Linked DNA regions of Caenorhabditis elegans. The protein of the gene in region 1 interacts with the protein of each later gene in a pairwise test. Each region holds a gene or a part of one and is shown on either strand. Other genes may lie near its edges. The genes, in order: ima-2 and sld-2.

Region 1 (9,775 bases):
CAAAACCTAAAAAACCTGTTGATGCGGCAATACCTGCGCCTCTGAAGACACCAGCGAAGGCACCTCGAACAAGAACAAAAGAGAGTGCGATTGCTCCGGAACGTGTATTCCTGGCGCCAAATGAAAAGCAGATTGGGGTTTCTCGCTACGTAAGTTTTTTTTCTCTCAGATCATCCAGCAATAATATTTTTTGAAGCAATTCGAGGCTTCACAGCCACCTACCACAAACAACAATGCTCTGACTAAGAAACAATCTGTTGACATGAAAATGCCAAAATCTACAGATCTGGTGTGTTTGTAAATGAAAAAATTTAAGTTAGTTTTAAAATAAATTTCAGCCTGCAGTTCCAACTCGTGCAATGACTCCCGGACCAAAACCATCTTGTGATCCTCCGAACAATAATAAAAGTGCAATGAAGATGAAGGTGATGCAGTGAGTTTTTTTCTTTATTTTAACTTATTTTAACCTAGAAATTGTGCGTAGTAGCTGTTCTCCAATTTTTAATCGAGGCACTGTCTCGTCTCCCCCATTCCTTATCACTTGAAAAAAAACGTTATTTCAGAGAACCTACTTGCAAAGAATTGGCTGTGGATAAAACTCAATGATCCTTTGATGTTTTCATTGTATAAAATTTATTGTCTTGTCTTTGCCTTTTTTTCTGTATTTTGTTGAATTCAGAGTATAGCTTTATTAATTAGTTCTCTTTTTCAATAAACTTGAAACAGGAACTCTGTTTGGGTGAGGCGCCACGGCGGTCACTATTGTAATATTTGCTCTATAATTACTTTAAAAGTTTAAAAAATACTTCAGAAAAAATAATACATTAATCGGATACAAGAATTAATATTTTTACGATTTTCCAGGCTTAATAAACTATTCCTTTTCCGGAAAAATGTTTATAATAATTTTCTATGTACATTTTTTATTTATAAATTTCCGTGAACTAATTTTTTCTGTTATTTTCGCCCATTTTTAGCCCATTTTTACCTTGTGATCAAAGAAATCAATCATTTTTTAAATTGGTGCGTAGTTTAATAAAACGATCAGTTACAAATATAGTGAGTTTTTCATATTATTACTTATTTTTATTCTTATTTTCAGCTTAACATCTTTCGATATAATGGCTGATGATAACATTACTCTCGATATTCACCAATTCATCAAAAGTCATTTGTTCGTCAAGAATTGGATCAATTACAGACAGGTGGGTTCGAACGGCAAAATTAAAATAATCTCGGCAACTTCTCAACCAACTTTAGAATCTTAAGAATGCCAAACGCAAAAGTTGCTAGAGTTGTGTAGAATGAAGAATCGCTCGCTCGCATATTTGTTTAAAAATTCATTTACTAGTCAGAAATATCAACTTCAAGTGAACTAACTGTGAAAAACGTAAAATTAATTTAAAAGATTATTTCAGCATGTATATGAAAAGTCAGACCTCCTTCTCTTGATTGGACAAATTATGGAACTTTTCAAAATGGAGAAAACTCTTGCTACAATCTCTCCGCCAGTTACAATTGTTGGTGATATCCATGGACAATATCCGGATCTTGTGAGAATTTTGAATTCTCGGATTTCTAAAGAAGAAGCTAAACAAAAAATAGTCACCAGTTATTCGTCAAACAGGTAATATTAATTGAATCGAAACAAATTATTTTTCCAAAGAAATTATTTGAAGATTTGTTTTCCTGGGCGACTATGTTGATCGAGGAAATCATTCAATTGAATGTATTTGTCTAGTTTTTGCTTTGAAGGTTCTCGATCTGAAATTTGTTTCCCTTTTAGTTATTATGTTTCAGATAGCGTATCCCACAAATTTCGTTTTGCTACGTGGGAATCATGAAACCAAAGCAATCAATTTTGCGTATGGATTTAGAGAAGAACTAGAGAATAGACTTGGAAAAAAGGATGGTTTCGAAATTTGGGAAAAATTCAACGAAGTGTTCTCTTTTATGCCATTGGCTTGTTTAGTTGGTGGACGAATCTTGTGCATGCACGGAGGAATTAGTGAAAAATTGGAGTCATTGGATTCTATTGATAGCGTATGTTTGACATTTTACGGGAATGCGAATTACACTCACCTGCCTCTTCCCCATTCCTCCGGAATTTTGCGAAAATTATAAATCGTTCACAACATAATAGTTTTTAGATCGTACGCCCACTTCCGGAAGTTACCGATTTGGCTCAAGATTTATTGTGGTCTGATCCAATGGATGTACAAACCTTGGCATCGATCAGTGAGTGAGTTGCATTCTGTTAATTGGAGTTTGGAATACTTATAGACAAAACTTACTTTTAGTACACCAAAGTATGCCAAGAACATTGTCCGTGGATTAGCACATTCCTTCAATGATGCAGCAGTACGAGATGTTTGCCGACGTCTAAATCTTCATTTAGTTGTTCGAGCCCATCAGGTATTCCAAATAACGATATTGATTTTTCATGACACATTCTAGATGATTCCCGAAGGATTCAAATTCAACTCGGACCGCAAGCTTCTCACTATTTTCTCGGCGCCACGTTACATGAATGAGAGTGATGTGAGTTTTTTTTCAAGAATTGTTTTTTTATTTTTATTTTTCAGAACCGTGGTGCCACGTTGCAAGTCGACGTAAATGGACAATTGAGTATTAGTGTAATGAGATACACAAAACCACTTCGTACAAAAGCTTTGGGTTCAGATGAAATCACTCGTGGAGACCATCTGCCTGATATTTCAAGAAAGAAATCAAACTCTTTTATTCCTTCTACATTTTCAAGTTCTAAGAGTACCAGCCTCAAAAAGTAGATATCTGAAATAAAAATTGATTATCTACCGCAACATTTTCTAATACATTAATGCAAATGGGCTCTAGCTAAATTAGCGTATTACATTTTCTGTAAAACATTTTTGATATATGCATCTTTATTTTTTGAAATTTTAAACTGTTTTCCAGAGAGCTGCCTTTTTACTGGTCGTTGGCTAATAGTAAGAAGGAAAGTGTTACATGTCGTCTGAAAGAATGCCTCCAAAATAGGTTCCTACAAAATAAGGATTTTGAATTTTCAACTAAAAAAACTCGCCTAACATGGCCGAAAATTGTAATATTTCTCTTGAAAAGAAACTCGCTCATTAGTTTGAAAATCAAGTATATTAGTAATCACATATTTGTGTGTATTATCTTGTTTAGTTGTTCTTCAATCACACATTACACCGTAATTACACTTTATCACCTCACCAACCCATCCTTCCTTTTCTAATCTAATCACCTACAATCATTCTTCGTTTTCTTCTTTTGAAGAAAATGACGGCTTCTTCTAAATGGGACAACGTCGCCTTCGGGTTATCAGCAGCTTGTCTCTCTGCAGCAATCGTGCTTTTAGTCTCAATTGCCACGTGGCAAAGTGAGATCTCAAGAATTACCGAAGAAGCTATTGTTGAGACTCAACATTTTCAGGTTTGATTGATAATTTTAGACTGAAGTTCATGAAGGTTTTCTTAGGAGACATCAGAAAAGATTTGGGATGATCTCGTTTTTGTAGCTACTGGAGAAACCGACCGACACAAAAGACATGCATGTAAGTTATTTTTTCATGAACTTTATTAGTTAAACATGATTTTTTATTAAACCTATGAAAAACTGATGGTGTCCCCGAAGAACTTTTTTTTTCTTCAGATTTGACACGCGCTCCAGTTGTCCCAGTAACAGGTGGATTCCAGACTGGAAGAACTGCGAATAGAGGATGCAATTGCCGTGGACCACCAGGACCACCCGGATTTAATGGGGAAGATGGATGTAATCGTTTTTATTGTAATTTATCTCATAATTTACCCCAACTTCCAGATGATGGTGAACCTGGAGTTCCGGGATCATCAGGAGGTGATGACATATCAGTGCTTCGTCACGATCCGGGACGATGTGCTCAATGCCCAGCTGGACCAATGGGACCACCAGGACCACGTGGACCACCTGGAGTACCAGGAATTACTGGAGCACCAGGTCTCGACGGAATCCCAGGAAGACACGGAACGCCAGGATATCCAGGAGAACCAGGACTTCCAGGACCGGTTGGAGATCCTGGTTTTGATGGAAAACCTGGAAACCCGGGAAATAATGGAGTACGTGTTCGTAGAATTCCCGGGCCACCAGGACCTCGAGGAGCCGAAGGAGATAGTGGAGTACAGGGAGGACCTGGTTCTCCAGGATTGGCAGGAGCTCCAGGAGATTCAGGAGCACCTGGACCACAAGGGCCTCCAGGACAAAAGGGAATGGATGGTACACCTGGTGGATTCGGGCAACCAGGACCTCAAGGTGTTGATGGAGAATATTGTCCATGTCCAAAACAAATAAAGAAATCTGTATAATTTCATAATATTTGAGAATAAATTTTATATCACAACAGCAACTCATAAACTGAACTGAATAAAGCAAGTCACAATCAACTATAGTAAACAAATAAATAACCAAATGTAGCTTTACTTGCCTACAATTAATACATTTTCAATGCTACAATAATATTTTTATAAATCATTAATTTTAATTTAATTGTTATTCGTTTTCCCAAGATATTCAAACAATTTATTATCAAAATGTTATATGTTTCGTGTTTAATATCATCATGTGTCCAAACTTTATAGACATGCAACCTTTGCGTGATCAAACATTTTTCTCTATTTTCGCACCCCTCCAGGCATAATTGGCACTTTGAGATTTTCTTTTCATTGAATTTCTATTTCCAATATTTCATTTTCTTTGTCGATCCTAGGGTCTTTAGAATGTCAGATTTCTCGCCTGACATGAAGAATCTTGATATTGATCCAATTCCTGTAGACTGTGATTTATCCTATAATACAAACATTGAAGTTTTAAAATTCACAGCTCAAATAATTTACATTATTACTGGGATATTTTTGAATTCGGCCGTATTGGGGACTATTCTCTGGAGATGTAGAGAAGTTTATTCCACGAACTCTTTTTTTACTCTTTTTTCGGTTGATTGTATAGCTGTAAGTGTTTTTTTTAATAACTCATAGTTTCAGAGATTTTCGGAAGAAATTAATAATTAAAATTTGCAACAAAAAAACAAAGCGCGGAGCATCGTATAATACAAAAAGGTTGTACTGAAAGAAAATTTCATGAAAATTTCATTTCTCTTTTGCCTTCGTTGCAAATTTTTTTTCCGTTTTATTGGTTTACTTGATTTTCTGGTGAGTATCAGAATTTTAATTTGAATTGAAAAAGTATAAACGAAAAAGTCACAAGTGCTACTATAAATTTATTTCGCTGTAAGACCTTTCTGTTTGAATCTGTTGTTTCATTAGGTTTCAAATGGGCACCGTACTTTCTTCAGAACATATCAATTCTTATAACAGAAGGTTTATTTGCTCGTTTCTTTATTTACTTTACACCAATATGCCCTGTTCTCGCTGATTACTTTCAATCTCCGCTTGTTGGGTTTAAGATTATAATGTTATTAACTCATCATGTATCAATTTGTAAATCCCTTTTACAAGTTTTGTTAGTTTTAAATCGAATGACGTGTGTCCTGTTTCCAATAACGCACGATTCAATATGGAGAAAAAGCTTGAAATATGTGATTAGTGCAGTTTTTTTAATTCCATTTTGTGCTGACTGGAATATTGCTATATCTCGAGTTTACATGCAATCCACGTATGGAGGTTTCTGGGTTAGCTATTTCAAGAAAGTTAGCTGGGTAAGTTCATCTGTTTCCATTTCTTTTTTGTTTTAAAACTAAAAGAAACTGAAGAAACTGTTTTAATGAACCACATACAGAAAAATAAAAGATGAACTGGAGAGACCCTTACAAAATAAATGAGTGTGACTTTAAGGATTCCAGATTATACCAAATTAGACATATTACCTCACATGCGAAAAACTACACTTTCGACTGAACTTTTTGTTCAACAGTCTCGGATCCCGAGACGAGTAAAATTTTTCAGCTACCGTACCCGCAACAATGATAGATCATCAATCTTTCTATTTGTCATTCTCTCTTTTTGTGTTGATCATATTTCTAGAATTATGCGTTTTTTAATTCTGAAATATTGAAAAGTTCTGGGAAAACGAGAAGATAAGCGGGTACAGTAACCCAACACACTTGTTCGTGACAAGAACTGAGGCTGGGAGCACATTAAATATGTACATTATATTTAATATTTATTGTTTCAGGCAAGCCAATCTCGTTTTCAACTTGTTTTTATTATTATTGCATTATCATTTACATTTATATGCACTGCAATTACTTTGTTAAAACTTCCAGAAAGATCAAAAGAAATAGAAAAAGCAATCTCTAATGCAACGGTTATCATATCCATTGGGTTCACTTTTAAAGTTTTATTTCAGGTTATTAACTTCTGAATTTTAAAAAATATCTAGAACATTCAGATATACTACAGCTTTTTCTTCTCATACACTGATGCATCAAGCCCCGTTTATGGATTTAGCTTTTTAGCTCTAGACTTTTTAACTGTTGGTTCTCCAATTGTAATGATATGTGTTAGCAGAAATCTTCGAACTCACATTTTTAAAAGTAAACGAAAAAATCAGACACTGTCAAAAATGTTAACTAGAACTTCCGGAATGGTGATTGCTCGTTGAACTTTTTCGAATAAAGTATTGTTTATTCAACAGTATGTTTTATTCAATCATGTTGAAATGCATGCTGCACCGTTTTTAGAACTACGGTAGATTACTGTACAATTAAGGTTAGATATATCGTGGTATTTATATTGGAGTTTGTGTTTTCTGCATTTTTCATTTTTGTAGGGCTAGAAAATCTATATATTTTCGGAAGTATAAATCTTTTCCTCAAAAACATTCCATGAATACGCATTAATGCGATTTTTTAAAAGCAAACAATTCGATTTTAAGTTACCGCCAAAAATCAGTTTGGCGCCAACGCTCTTTATTGGCGCCTTATTCGCTTCAACATTTCGAATTTCGGCGCGAAGGTTACACTTTTTGATAACAATTTTGGGCCGCGGCGCTCATTTCTGCTTTCATCGCCCAATGTTTCCTCCTTTTCTTTCTTAAATAGTTTCACCACTCATTCTTTTCAACTGAATTTGTAATATTCTCATGAAATTTTAGTTCTGTTTAACTAGTTCCCATTTATCTCGTTGCGAAATTTATTATTAAAAAGTATGGAGGTGATTTATTCCGAACTTTTTCGAATCAGAAACTCCTACTTTTTTCTAATAGTGTTATTTTTGTTTAATATTCACATAAGTTCTTCCAGATTGAAGCTTAACTATGACTCTCACCGAAACCAGCCTGTCTCACAATGCCGAAGAGGGAAAGGATGAGGGAGGCCGCCTTCAACAGTACAAGAATCTCACCAAGCATGAAGTATGTTAAATTATTGATAACAGATTTCATGCAAAAATGTTACTATCCGACTTATTTAAAGTAATTGCGAGATTTATTTATTTGTTCTGTTCAGGAGCTCCGTCGTCGTCGTACTGAATGCAGTGTTGAAATTCGAAAGCAAAAAGGAGCGGACATGATGATGAAACGCCGTAACATCGTCGACGTCGATGAAGGTGGCAATTCGGAATCGGAGCTCGAGGAGCCAGAGAAGATATCTCATCAGCAATCATCAACCCGTTTGTCAAATGATGAGATTAGAGCTATTCTCTCCAACAATCCATCGGAAGATGATATGGTTCGATGCTTCGAGTCGTTGAGAAAATCACTATCAAAGACGAAGAATCCACCTATTGATGAAGTCATTCACTGCGGTTTGCTTCAGGCTTTGGTTCAGGCATTGAGCGTTGAGGTAGGTCGATCTTTATTTCCATTCAATAATTTCCAATTTTCAGAACGAGCGTGTTCAATATGAAGCAGCTTGGGCTCTTACCAATATCGTTTCCGGTTCCACCGAGCAAACAATTGCAGCTGTTGAAGCCGGAGTAACAATTCCACTGATCCATCTTTCAGTTCATCAGAGTGCGCAGATCTCGGAGCAAGCTTTGTGGGCAGTCGCTAACATTGCTGGAGACTCATCTCAACTTCGTGATTATGTTATTAAATGCCATGGAGTGGAGGCGTTGATGCATTTGATGGAGAAAGTCGATCAACTGGGAGATTCGCATGTTCGTACCATTGCATGGGCATTCTCCAACATGTGCCGTCATAAGAATCCACATGCCCCATTAGAAGTTCTTCGTGTTCTGTCGAAAGGTCTTGTCAAACTTGTTCAGGTAATTGTCAAAATGTTCGATCGCAATTAACGTCTTCACTTTAGCACACGGACCGTCAAGTCCGTCAAGACGCATGCTGGGCTGTTTCTTATTTGACTGATGGACCAGATGAGCAAATCGAATTGGCACGAGAAAGTGGTGTGCTTCCTCACGTCGTCGCTTTCTTCAAAGAAGCTGAAAACCTTGTTGCTCCGGCTCTCCGAACTCTTGGTAATGTTGCAACTGGAAATGACTCGCTGACACAGGCGGTTATCGACTTGGGATCACTCGATGAAATTCTTCCATTGATGGAAAAGACGCGATCATCAAGCATTGTGAAGGAGTGCTGCTGGTTGGTGTCCAACATTATTGCTGGAACTCAGAAGCAGATTCAAGCTGTCCTCGACGCAAATCTTCTCCCAGTTCTCATCAATGTTCTGAAGTCGGGAGATCACAAGTGCCAGTTCGAGGCTTCTTGGGCTCTTTCTAATTTGGCTCAAGGGGGAACAAATCGTCAAGTTGTCGCCATGCTTGAAGACAATGTAGTGCCTGCTTTGTGCCAAGCCCTTCTTCAAACTAACACTGATATGCTGAATAATACTTTGGAGACTCTGTATACTCTTATGCTCACTGTTCAGAATGGGTATGTTTTTATTAGATAATTAGCACTCTCAAAAATGTGATTCCAGTTACCCTCACAAAGTGGACATTCTTCACGACCAAGTCGAAGAGAATGGTGGACTTGACAGTTTGGAGCGCCTCCAGGAAAGTCAATCGGAGCAGATCTATACTCAGGCTTACCGCATCATCACTCAATTCTTCACCGACGATGATGCTGGAGAGAAGGAGTCTCATGAGAATGCCGATCCACAAGATAACAAATGGAGTTTCTAAATTATTTCACACTTATCATCATTCTAGTAGTCATTTCATAGTAACATTCTTCTTTCTCACATTTAACATTGGATTGTTTTTTTTAGAATTACCCTCATCTGTGTGTATTACCCGTATTTATATTTGACCCCGTTTTAACTGATCTCTTCACTTTAAATTGACAATTTGTTTAGAATGAAAAGAAAGTGGAACATATGATTTTTATAACCGGGAAAACGATGCGCGTATTTTTCAATACGCATTCATGTTTCTTTGTTGAACTGTTCACTCGCTAATTTGAACATCCGCGTTTTTGTCTATGTGTTCGTCGCGGGACCCATCTGAAAATTGTCTGCGCCTTTAATCTGGACTCAATATCCCTTGTTTTTTCTTTTCTTCCGGCTGAACTGAAATGATGCCTTTTGTCGTTAATTTTAATGATTTTATCACGAAATTTGAAAAATAATTTCCACTTGAAGCATTTGTCACAATAATGTTTGGTTAGGATAACAAAACTTGACAAGATCCGGCTCATAGTCCTAAAAAAGTTTTTTAAACTTCTTCACAGCTATTTCTCGGTTACTTCAAATTTCTCAGCTTTTTCCAATAATTAAAATTCAATATAATTCGTTAAATCACACATTAATTGCAGTACATCCAAACTCAAAATGATGATCAAAGTGGGAGCCGCTATTAATGGAACAGACAGTCCGAAGGTA
Region 2 (8,930 bases), 2.6 Mb from region 1:
ACGAATGAACGGATGAATGGTGTCATTTGTTTGGGTTTCAGATGTACAGAAACAGGAGTGATGCGTGGGATGTTTCGGAATGGATAAGAGAAGACGATGTCCCGCGGAGTCAGAGCGGTGTCACGCAGTCTTCGGAATGCTTTTCATACTGAGACAATTCGAGATTCTGGGAATTTGCTTTCCTTATTTAAAAAATACGTTTTTTTTGAAAGGCGAAAACTAGTTTAATCAGCAGAATTTTTTTGAATTTTTGTTGTAAAAACTAGGCTTTATCGACATAATTCTCCATTTTCCCATCGGGGATCGCATCAAAAAAACGAAACAAACCGCTGGAATGAGGAAGTAACACAAATTATAGCGATCATGTTGTACGACGACGGCTGTGTGATCTGGTCACTTTGGAAAGATGAGTGTAAGGCGGATGAACGGGCGCGGCGACGAACAAGCGGGGGGGGGGGAAGTAAGCGCGAGTGAGGGGCGATGAAAACCACTTTTGGACAGAGGACAGGGGGACGAACTGTGAATGATGGTGTGCCGAGAAAGGAGATGCGTTCGCGATCGCACAGAGAGCGAGAGCCAGCAATGGAGATGATTCATCAGTCGATACGGACGTTATGAGAGTGTACACAGATCCGAGAGAGTCCAGAGAGAAGGGTGGCAGCTACGCACGCATCATCAGGAACAAGCAGCAGAACAGTTTTTTTTTTGTTGGGACGAACATGAAATAAGATCATGATGCAACAGAAAAGAAATGATAGTCGACAAAAGCGATTTTTAAAAAAGCAGCAGCAGCAGCAACAGTAGCGACGTTCGCTTACCAATAAGGAAGTGGAGGTGGTTGGGGAATACCGCTGGCACCCGACGCTGATGTCGACGGTGACGTGCCTGGTGAGTGGGCGTTAGATGTTCCCACAGAGGAGCCTGGTGAAGATGTCTTCTCCACTGCCACCTTTCCATCGAACTTTCCCACCATTCTTTCAATTTGTGACTTGTCGATTTGGATTGCCTATAATCATAATCCGTATCTTTACTTTGAATGCATTAATTTTTTTGGCATCGTTTTCCCCCATAATTTTGAAAATTAGCTTGTCCTACGCCCACTATGCGAACAATTAGTAATATTTACTCAAAAGTTTTTGCAAAAATTAGAATAATATTTTCCGGACTTGATCAAGCACTAATAATATCGTTAAATCATTAAAAACCCTGCAACTCAAAGGCTGTTGCTAATGATAAGAGTGTGCAATTGATTTTCTGGGAGGGACGCGAAAAATGTGGCTTATCAGAGGTGAGAAAATGGCAAAATTCGTGTGTGCAAAAAATCACGGAAATGACGAATTTCGGGGTGGCGGAAGAGACTGTTTCGTGGAAGAAAATAATGATTTCTCAATAGGGGACGGGAAAAGCTTTAAACAAACTTTGACCTAGAACTTTTTTTTTAATTTTTAAAATTTAAACTTGGAGTAAAGTCAATTTCTAGAAATTCCCGAAAACTAAAAATTCGACGCTGTACAATTCAAAATAAGAGAAAAATTCATAAATTTTTTGTGGGTGCTGTCAATGCGATACTGCCGTTGGAGACACAAAGGAGAAAACATAGTAGGCTGCGGGGTAGCTAGCCTGAGACACGCATAAATTGAGATGTGATGACAGAAGAGGTTAAAGGTGTGCGCGTACATACACATACATTTTTTTATGTCTTTGACCCAAGAAGGACCAGTTCTGGAAACACAATCGATCAGAAGCGACAAATATGCCGTTGTGTGAACCTTCGTGACGTCACGGGAAGAATTGTTTTGGAGTAATCACATTTTTTCCTCTATTATACATTTGTCTAAATTACGTCAGAGTCAGAAAGGAAAAAAAAGTTGGTGCCTATTAATTAAACATCATAAAGATTTGATAATAAATATATACGTCTATTTTCAGAATTCAGTGGCAGAATTCAATGGCAGAATGGGGCAAGAAGTAGACAACACACGGGAAAACTCTACGAGAAATATATCCAGGCAGGTGCAATTCAGCTGCCAGAATACTTAAAAAGTACTTTGGAAACTGTTATTCAAACGGGGGCTTTGCGTCATACGTTTTTAAGCGAAATATACTTTTTGCAGATGCAGAAAATGAACTTTTGAGATGATTCTTCCAAAATATTTCAGAATTATTTTAAAATTGAGAAAAAAAATTATCTTTACTCAAGGAAAGCACGGAGTATTTCTAAAAATTATTTCAAGCAATATTTGAACTCTCCGTGAAATATTATGGAGCGCACGATATACGACTTAAAGAAAAGTGAAACGAGATCCGGTTTTTATGGTATAGGTGCGAAGACTAAGTGAAAGTAGACGTAGAAGTAGCTGACACTTTTCGATAAAAAACCCCTACTAAAATGGGGTTTGTTAACTTTTAAAGTAGCCATTTTATTTTTCTAGTTACATACAAATCTTTAAAGGAGTGTTTCGTTACACAGAGGCACGCCCGAATGCAAATTAGATGACACAAACCTTCTGAACGACAAAGTTTCGCGGTGACACTTCTGTGCAAATGTAGAAGGCGTCCGAGTCGAGCTCGAACGTGTCCATCTCCGAAAAGGGACGTCGACGCCGTGGAGAATGGTGAACGAAGGAGAAGAAGTCAGTATCACGTCATCCGACTTATGGAAGCGAATGGAGAAGTGGGTGGTGGAGAAGAAGGAGCGTAGAGAGGGGCGACGGGCGCAGCAGCAGTGGCCAGACTCTTCTTCTCTGACCGTGTCGTGTCAGCCGGTTTTGTGAGGGCAGAGAGAGAGAGAGACACGTTGAACGACACAAAGAGACGGAGACAACGCAAAAAAAAAGTGAGAAGGGGAATGTGTGCACAATATGGTACGCAGACGACGATGTGAAAAATGGAGGGACGAATGGCAGGCAACAAGAACTGGGAAGAGGAAGAAGACGCGCTTCTCGATTGTTTTTTCTAGAGCGAAAAGCCTGGAATATACTGAAGGCAGCGGACGGGGCTCTCCTGCCATCATTAGGGACCCGCAAGAGAAATGAAATAGAAAAGCAAGGGAGATGGAGAAGAAGTATGGAAACAGAGACATATCCCTTTTCAGCAATTCTTCGATTAGTTCGACAATTTCATGGAGCCAAGGTTTTGGAGTGGAGAGAAAGTTGAATTCAATGAAAATGTCATTCGGCTAAATATTTGATAGAGGAAGATGATGTTAATGTTAAATAACAAATTATTTAGTACAATTCAAGGAATACAGCTTCAAATTAGTCAAATGTTTACAAACTTTACAATAAGGAGTTGAATTTAATTAAAAACCAAGTAGAATTATTTAAAATTTTATTCCTAATATGGAATAAGCACGCGTTTCCTAATTGACAGTTCATATTCTCTATTCATATTATCCTATTCAGAAAATTTCATCAAAATATCAGTTTAAAAGCAAGAAAATACAGAAAAAAGGCTACAAATCTGGAAATTTTCAGATAAAACGTGGAAAAAATATATAAAACAGAGCTGCGATTCAAAGCAAGCGCTGGAAAAGTGTGCGGTGGAGCGCACTTGCCACACATTTTTGGCGCGAGTTTTGAAAACAGCTCCTGGTTTTTTGGTTTTTGCTCTCATTTTCTCTATTTATTTTCTTATTTTCTTTGTTTTCACATGTTTTCTGCCGAATCTTTTCGATTTCAAATTAAATTTTTAAATTATTTTCAGCCCGAACGTAATGGAAGAGTGGAAAACGTCTTTCCGAGAGATTTATGGAAGATCACCAACGGCAGGAGATATTTCTGTAGCTCCGAATCATATTAAAGGTAATTAATGGAAAAAAAAACGTATTTACATTAAATTATTATTTCAGCTATACTTCAATCTGAAAAGAAGGAGAATGACGAGAAAATCGAAGAGAAGCAAGCGAAACGTGGAGTGAAGCGGAAGAATTTCGAAATGAAAATGATGGAAGGCGAGCAATTCAGCCCTATCAAAAAACGAGTTAATCTTAATCAGCTCGGCTCGGAAAATGATAAAAATCCAATTCCACTGAGATCTTCACCCAGAAAGGTTGATATCGCATTAAAAACTGCTGAAATTTAAAATAAAATTGCAGAAAATGATTGCGATCGAAGTTTTGCCGGAAAAGAGCATGGTGTCGCCTAAAAAGGTTTGAAACTTTAATAATCTTTATAATAATAAAATAAACTAAATTTCAGAAGCCAGTGGGATCAGTTCCGTTCGAATTCGACGACTTTTCCCCTGTGAAGTCATACTCCGCGAGCACATCAAAATCTGCCGTTAAATCTACGCTAACACCGATCAAATCTCCAACAAAACGCGCTTACCAGAGACCATTGAGGGTTTGTTTTATTTAAATACTAATTTAAAATTTCCATTTTCCTATTTCAGGATCTCAAAATGCTTCTCTTACCAACGCCGGAAAAGGGTCAAGAAGTTGAAGGTCCGGTTGAAGAATTCGATGATGAGACGTGAGTTTTAGATTTTCATTGAAATTTCGAGCTTTAATTTTCGGAAATTTGCAGATTCCAGGCTATTTTAAGCATTTTTTTGACACATTTCATGCAAATCAATCTATAATTTTTTTTCAGAAACGAAGATGTTGCCAAAGCACGTTCCTACAATCCAGCAGCCAGAAAACTCGGCGGTTCATCAAAAAGCGATCAAAACTTCCAGAAAATCAATCTGAGAAAGAAGCAATTCGTTCGCGGAAAAGTTACCGCAGAGCAGAAGCGAAAGTTGAAGAGAAAACAAATGTTCAAGAAGAAGTACTGAATATTCTAATTTGTCTAGAATTTCATTTTTACATTATTATTATTCGGATTTTTATGTATTTTATTTTATCATTCACTTATCGGGTTTTTCAAAAACCGCAATAAAAGTTTTAAAGTTTTTTTTTTTTAATTGCGTTCTGGGGCAGGAGAACTAAAGCTTCAACTTTTTTCGAATCGGAATTTTAGGGAATAAAAATAGAGTGCATTTTTTTTTGGTTAAATTCATATTACAGAGATGAAATATTGATATTTTGCACGAAAATACTGTACTCGGTCTCGAAGCGACCGATTTTTAATTATTGCAAATAAGTGTGCGCCTTTAAAGAGTACTGTAGTTTCCAATTCCTAATTTTCGCCAAATTTTCATCGATTTTTCATAGTTTTTCTCCAGGTTCTTCAAATTTTTATGTATATGTTTTATGCATTTTCACATTTTTTCGATAAATTTTCAAGAAACGGGGGACAAATTGAGATAGTCAATTAAAATATGGCAGCAACAAAAAATTTCCAACAACAGTACCCTTTAAAACCCGGTCGCTTCGAGACCCGTCTTTTTACATTAAAATCGCAAATTTTCGCAATATAATAAGCAGATTTGCAAATATTTCAGGGTTTTTTAGATTGAAAATAGTTTTGAAAGAGGAAAAATCTCTATTCAGACTTCCAACTTGAATTTTTTTTCTAATTTTTCAATTCGATGCCAAATCCCTTCAACAATGTATATATACAGCAATGTAACCGATAATGTGATATTATCGGTTAACGATTCCAGTTGATGTTGAGGATGCCGATTTGATAGCCAACCGATCGGAGGATGTTTTATGGCTAATTACAGAGAAACCCGCTTTTTTTCTGATCACATTTTACTTTTAGTTTCGAAATGTTCTCCAAAGCATTTGAGAACTTTTCCTAAAGTTCCATCCTTTCCACAACTTTCAAAAAAAAAATCGAGTTTCTGAGAGTTCTAATTTTCCAAAAAATAATTTTCGAAAGCTGGAAACGTCAAAATAGGTTCTCAGTCTATTTGGTCGTGCTCTCATGGTAGGCAGGTCGACCTTGATGCCTACCTACCTTATAGTTGCAGATCTGATATGTGCACAAATGATTTAGGCACAAGACAAGCACAGTAGGCGAAACTCAAAAGCAGACAGTTATCCATGTTTGTCCTTACCTGGAAGTTAGCGCATCCAATTTTTTTTAGAAATGTGTATTTAAAATTGTAGATTACTGAGGCGATACTGTAGTCTTTGTCAATTTCATGCCTGTGTGTCTAAGCTGCCTACGAAGGTATGTAGGTACAAGTGTAGGCAAGAGGCAGGCATGTAGGCATTCTAAGCTTTAGTAAGTTCTTTTACGTTAACTCGAAATAATTGAATTTTCCCTGTTTAGTTTTTATTTGTTGGAATTCTTTATTTAAATAGCCAGAGCACCACGGGATAACATATTTTTGTAAATTAACTGTTAATAATAAAAATGTCTCGAAAACAGTTGAGAATACAGCCATAGGCACTACACCTACCTCATTCCTGCCTGCCTATAAAATCTTACCGTAGCAGCCTTCGTTTTTCGACTACAATTCTTTTTTTTTGAAATTTTCTGAAAATGGTTCAGTTTAGACGGGGACACTGACCCATTTAGTCGATCAGTACCAAGATGGAAGAGCTTTCCGCGCTTGACGGCCACGTTCTCCTTTTATATGAAATATAGGTCCCCCGCTCTCCTCATTCACCAAATCCAAATTTAAAGCAGTTTTCCAGTCCATTGAACACAAAGTAGTGGTGTTTCAAGTTACAAACACAAAAACACTTTTTTTCAATTCTCAAACACCCTCAATGATGACGAATTCCGGTTTGCAACGCGAGACGGTGGCAAAAGTTGTATGGTTCTGATGCGATTAACGCGAATCATTTGGGTCGGCGCCAGAATTCTCTGAATTTGTATAAAAGTTTCGTGTGCTGAAACTGATTGGAACTATAATTTAGAGCTAGAAATGTGTGTTTTTTTATGATTTATGTATATGTAGTCGTATAGAAAGTACGAGAAATATGTATTATTGTTTAAAAACTTGGATCATGAAGTTTTACGAGTTCTCAAAAATTTGCTTGAAATTCTGGGGAAACCATGAAAATAAGGTAGTGCTCAAGCTATTGCTGCCATTGGAAAAGTTTTCCGAGTTTAGAAAATTCTAGGCTATAGTTTTTTGTAACTTTGGGTTACTGTAGTAATTTCTAACAAAATACAGTACAATTTATCAATACAAATAAAAGTTTTAATTGTTACTTTAATTTTCACAATTAATAGCCCATTTCCCATTCTATATGTATAGGACGATAAAAAACTAACGAATGCCCCCAAACAAATAGACACCAACATTAAATATTCTCACTTGCAAATGTCAATTTCTGCATCCTCACAGCAAAAGTGCTCTATTTGTCTTGGCACCGTGCCAACTATATTTGAACATTTAACGACGCTGGACGGGAGAACAAAGGGGCTTTTAATTAAAAATTCTGAATTTTTTGCCCCACATTGATCTACTTTGGCAGTTTGTATCTCGGCTCTATTGTGCTTTATCAAAAAATGTTCAACTGACACAATACTTGTAAAATATTTATCTACATTCTTTAGTTTATCATTTTTTGACAAAACCAAAAAGAACCGAGAAACGAGCTGTCAAAGTAAATCAGTGGGCGTGCAAATTACTGGTAATATACATAATGAAAGCCAATTTGGAACACCTCGTGATTCAAAAATTTAAAATTCATAAAAGTTAAAATTTCTGGAAATTAAAAATTAAAAATATCTCCATGATTTTGCTGTGTTTTGTTCTGAAGCTTCGCCAATTTTATAGAAATATTCATATCGTTTGAAAATAATTCAAATTCTCGTGACCTTCCCAGAATTAAACAAAAAACTAAAATTACACTTACGTTTTTTTTTATTTACATCATAAAAATTTCGATTTCAATTTTATTGCTTGATTTTTGGGCAAGCTCATCTCTTCTTGGATAGTGGTTTTCTGTGAGGAAAAATCGTCAAAGTTTACCAATTCTCCGAAAAAATGCTCAAAATTTTGTTGAATCTCTTGATGTTGTTTGGCTCGCCGATACTATTGCTGCTCGTTCAATGTGGTGGAAAGAAGAAAGCAAAATCGGGAAAATTGACAAGTGAAGGTGTTGAGGAAGGGGATTCTGAAGATTCCACAAAGGATAAGAAGAAAAAGGGAAAGAAGGGAAAAGGTGAAGGCCTTCATTCCGAGATGACAAACTTTTTGGGTGGCAAAGGTTCTTTGGGGGCATAGTATCCAAGGAGACAAAGGATCCAGTAGACAAACTGGGGTGTATCTTGGGGGGCATATCTTTGGTGACAACCTTTTTTTCCACTAGATTTTTATATGTATTTTTCAACTAATTTTTGTTCACATTTTTCTGGAATAAGTTTTTTAATGCAATTTTCAATCGATTATCGGTTATAATTCCCTCACAATTGAATGTATGAACGATGGTCTTTTGGGAAAAGCTGTAAAACGTCCAACTAACTTGGAATATCGTGAGGCTCTTCCTGATGGTCTGATCCTTCAGCTCCGAAGGATCACATGGGTACCTTCTGATGTTCTGATCCTTCAGATAAGAAGGATCGTAAGGGTACCTCCTGATGGTCTGATACTTCAGCTCCAAAGGATCACGAGGCTCTTCCTGATGTTCTGATCCTTCAGCTCCGAAGGATCACATGGGCATCTTCTGATGATCTGATCCTTCAGATAAGAAGGATCGTAAGGGTACCACCTGATGGTCTGATACTTCAGCTCCAAAGGATCACGAGGCTCTTCCTGATGTTCTGATCCTTCAGCTCCGAAGGATCACATGGGCACCTTCTGATGTTCTGATCCTTCAGATAAGAAGGATCGTAAGGGTACCTCCTGATGTTCTGATCCTTCAGCTCCGAAGGATCACATGGGCACCTTCTGATGATCTGATCCTTCAGATAAGAAGGATCGCTAACTTTTAAATTTGAGTAGTCAATCGATTTTTAGTTTGAACTGTAATATATGTTTGCATACTGATAAGAAATTGCACATGTGTTCTTTCTTCCTTTGAGATCGGCTCTCTTTTTTATTAGAATACATTTTTTTTCGATTTTTCAGAAAATGACAGG

What was found.
Region 2: the proteins of ima-2 (region 1) and sld-2 interact in a two-hybrid assay, tested with the Caenorhabditis elegans proteins (one large-scale study listed by BioGRID).

The regions. Positions count from the first base shown.
Region 1 is NC_003279.8:6,307,993-6,317,767, forward strand, and holds ima-2 (Importin subunit alpha-2), read left to right. Parts: upstream 1-7,240; 5' UTR 7,241-7,254; coding exon 7,255-7,350; intron 7,351-7,444; coding exon 7,445-7,780; intron 7,781-7,823; coding exon 7,824-8,204; intron 8,205-8,248; coding exon 8,249-8,826; intron 8,827-8,872; coding exon 8,873-9,077; 3' UTR 9,078-9,275; downstream 9,276-9,775. Other genes in the region: C10G11.1 (uncharacterized protein), read left to right, coding at 1-149, 197-289, 339-433, 564-606; F26B1.5 (Serine/threonine-protein phosphatase), read left to right, coding at 1,122-1,205, 1,419-1,627, 1,680-2,043, 2,151-2,242, 2,301-2,415, 2,458-2,541, 2,586-2,789; col-58 (Nematode cuticle collagen N-terminal domain-containing protein), read left to right, coding at 3,286-3,438, 3,484-3,559, 3,658-3,777, 3,826-4,346; srg-14 (Serpentine receptor class gamma-14), read left to right, coding at 4,758-4,988, 5,333-5,695, 6,172-6,345, 6,388-6,600; hrpk-1 (Heterogeneous nuclear ribonucleoprotein K homolog), read left to right, coding at 9,725-9,772. UniProt on the Caenorhabditis elegans protein: Nuclear transport receptor that mediates nuclear import of proteins, and which is involved in sister chromatid cohesion. Binds specifically and directly to substrates containing either a simple or bipartite nuclear localization signals (NLS) motif.
Region 2 is NC_003279.8:3,737,753-3,746,682, forward strand, and holds sld-2 (Ribosome biogenesis protein NOP53), read left to right. Parts: upstream 1-3,698; 5' UTR 3,699-3,715; coding exon 3,716-3,803; intron 3,804-3,850; coding exon 3,851-4,050; intron 4,051-4,096; coding exon 4,097-4,150; intron 4,151-4,199; coding exon 4,200-4,343; intron 4,344-4,392; coding exon 4,393-4,472; intron 4,473-4,592; coding exon 4,593-4,776; 3' UTR 4,777-4,895; downstream 4,896-8,930. Other genes in the region: larp-5 (HTH La-type RNA-binding domain-containing protein), read right to left, coding at 819-1,006, 2,505-2,582; math-46 (MATH (meprin-associated Traf homology) domain containing), read left to right, coding at 7,837-8,059.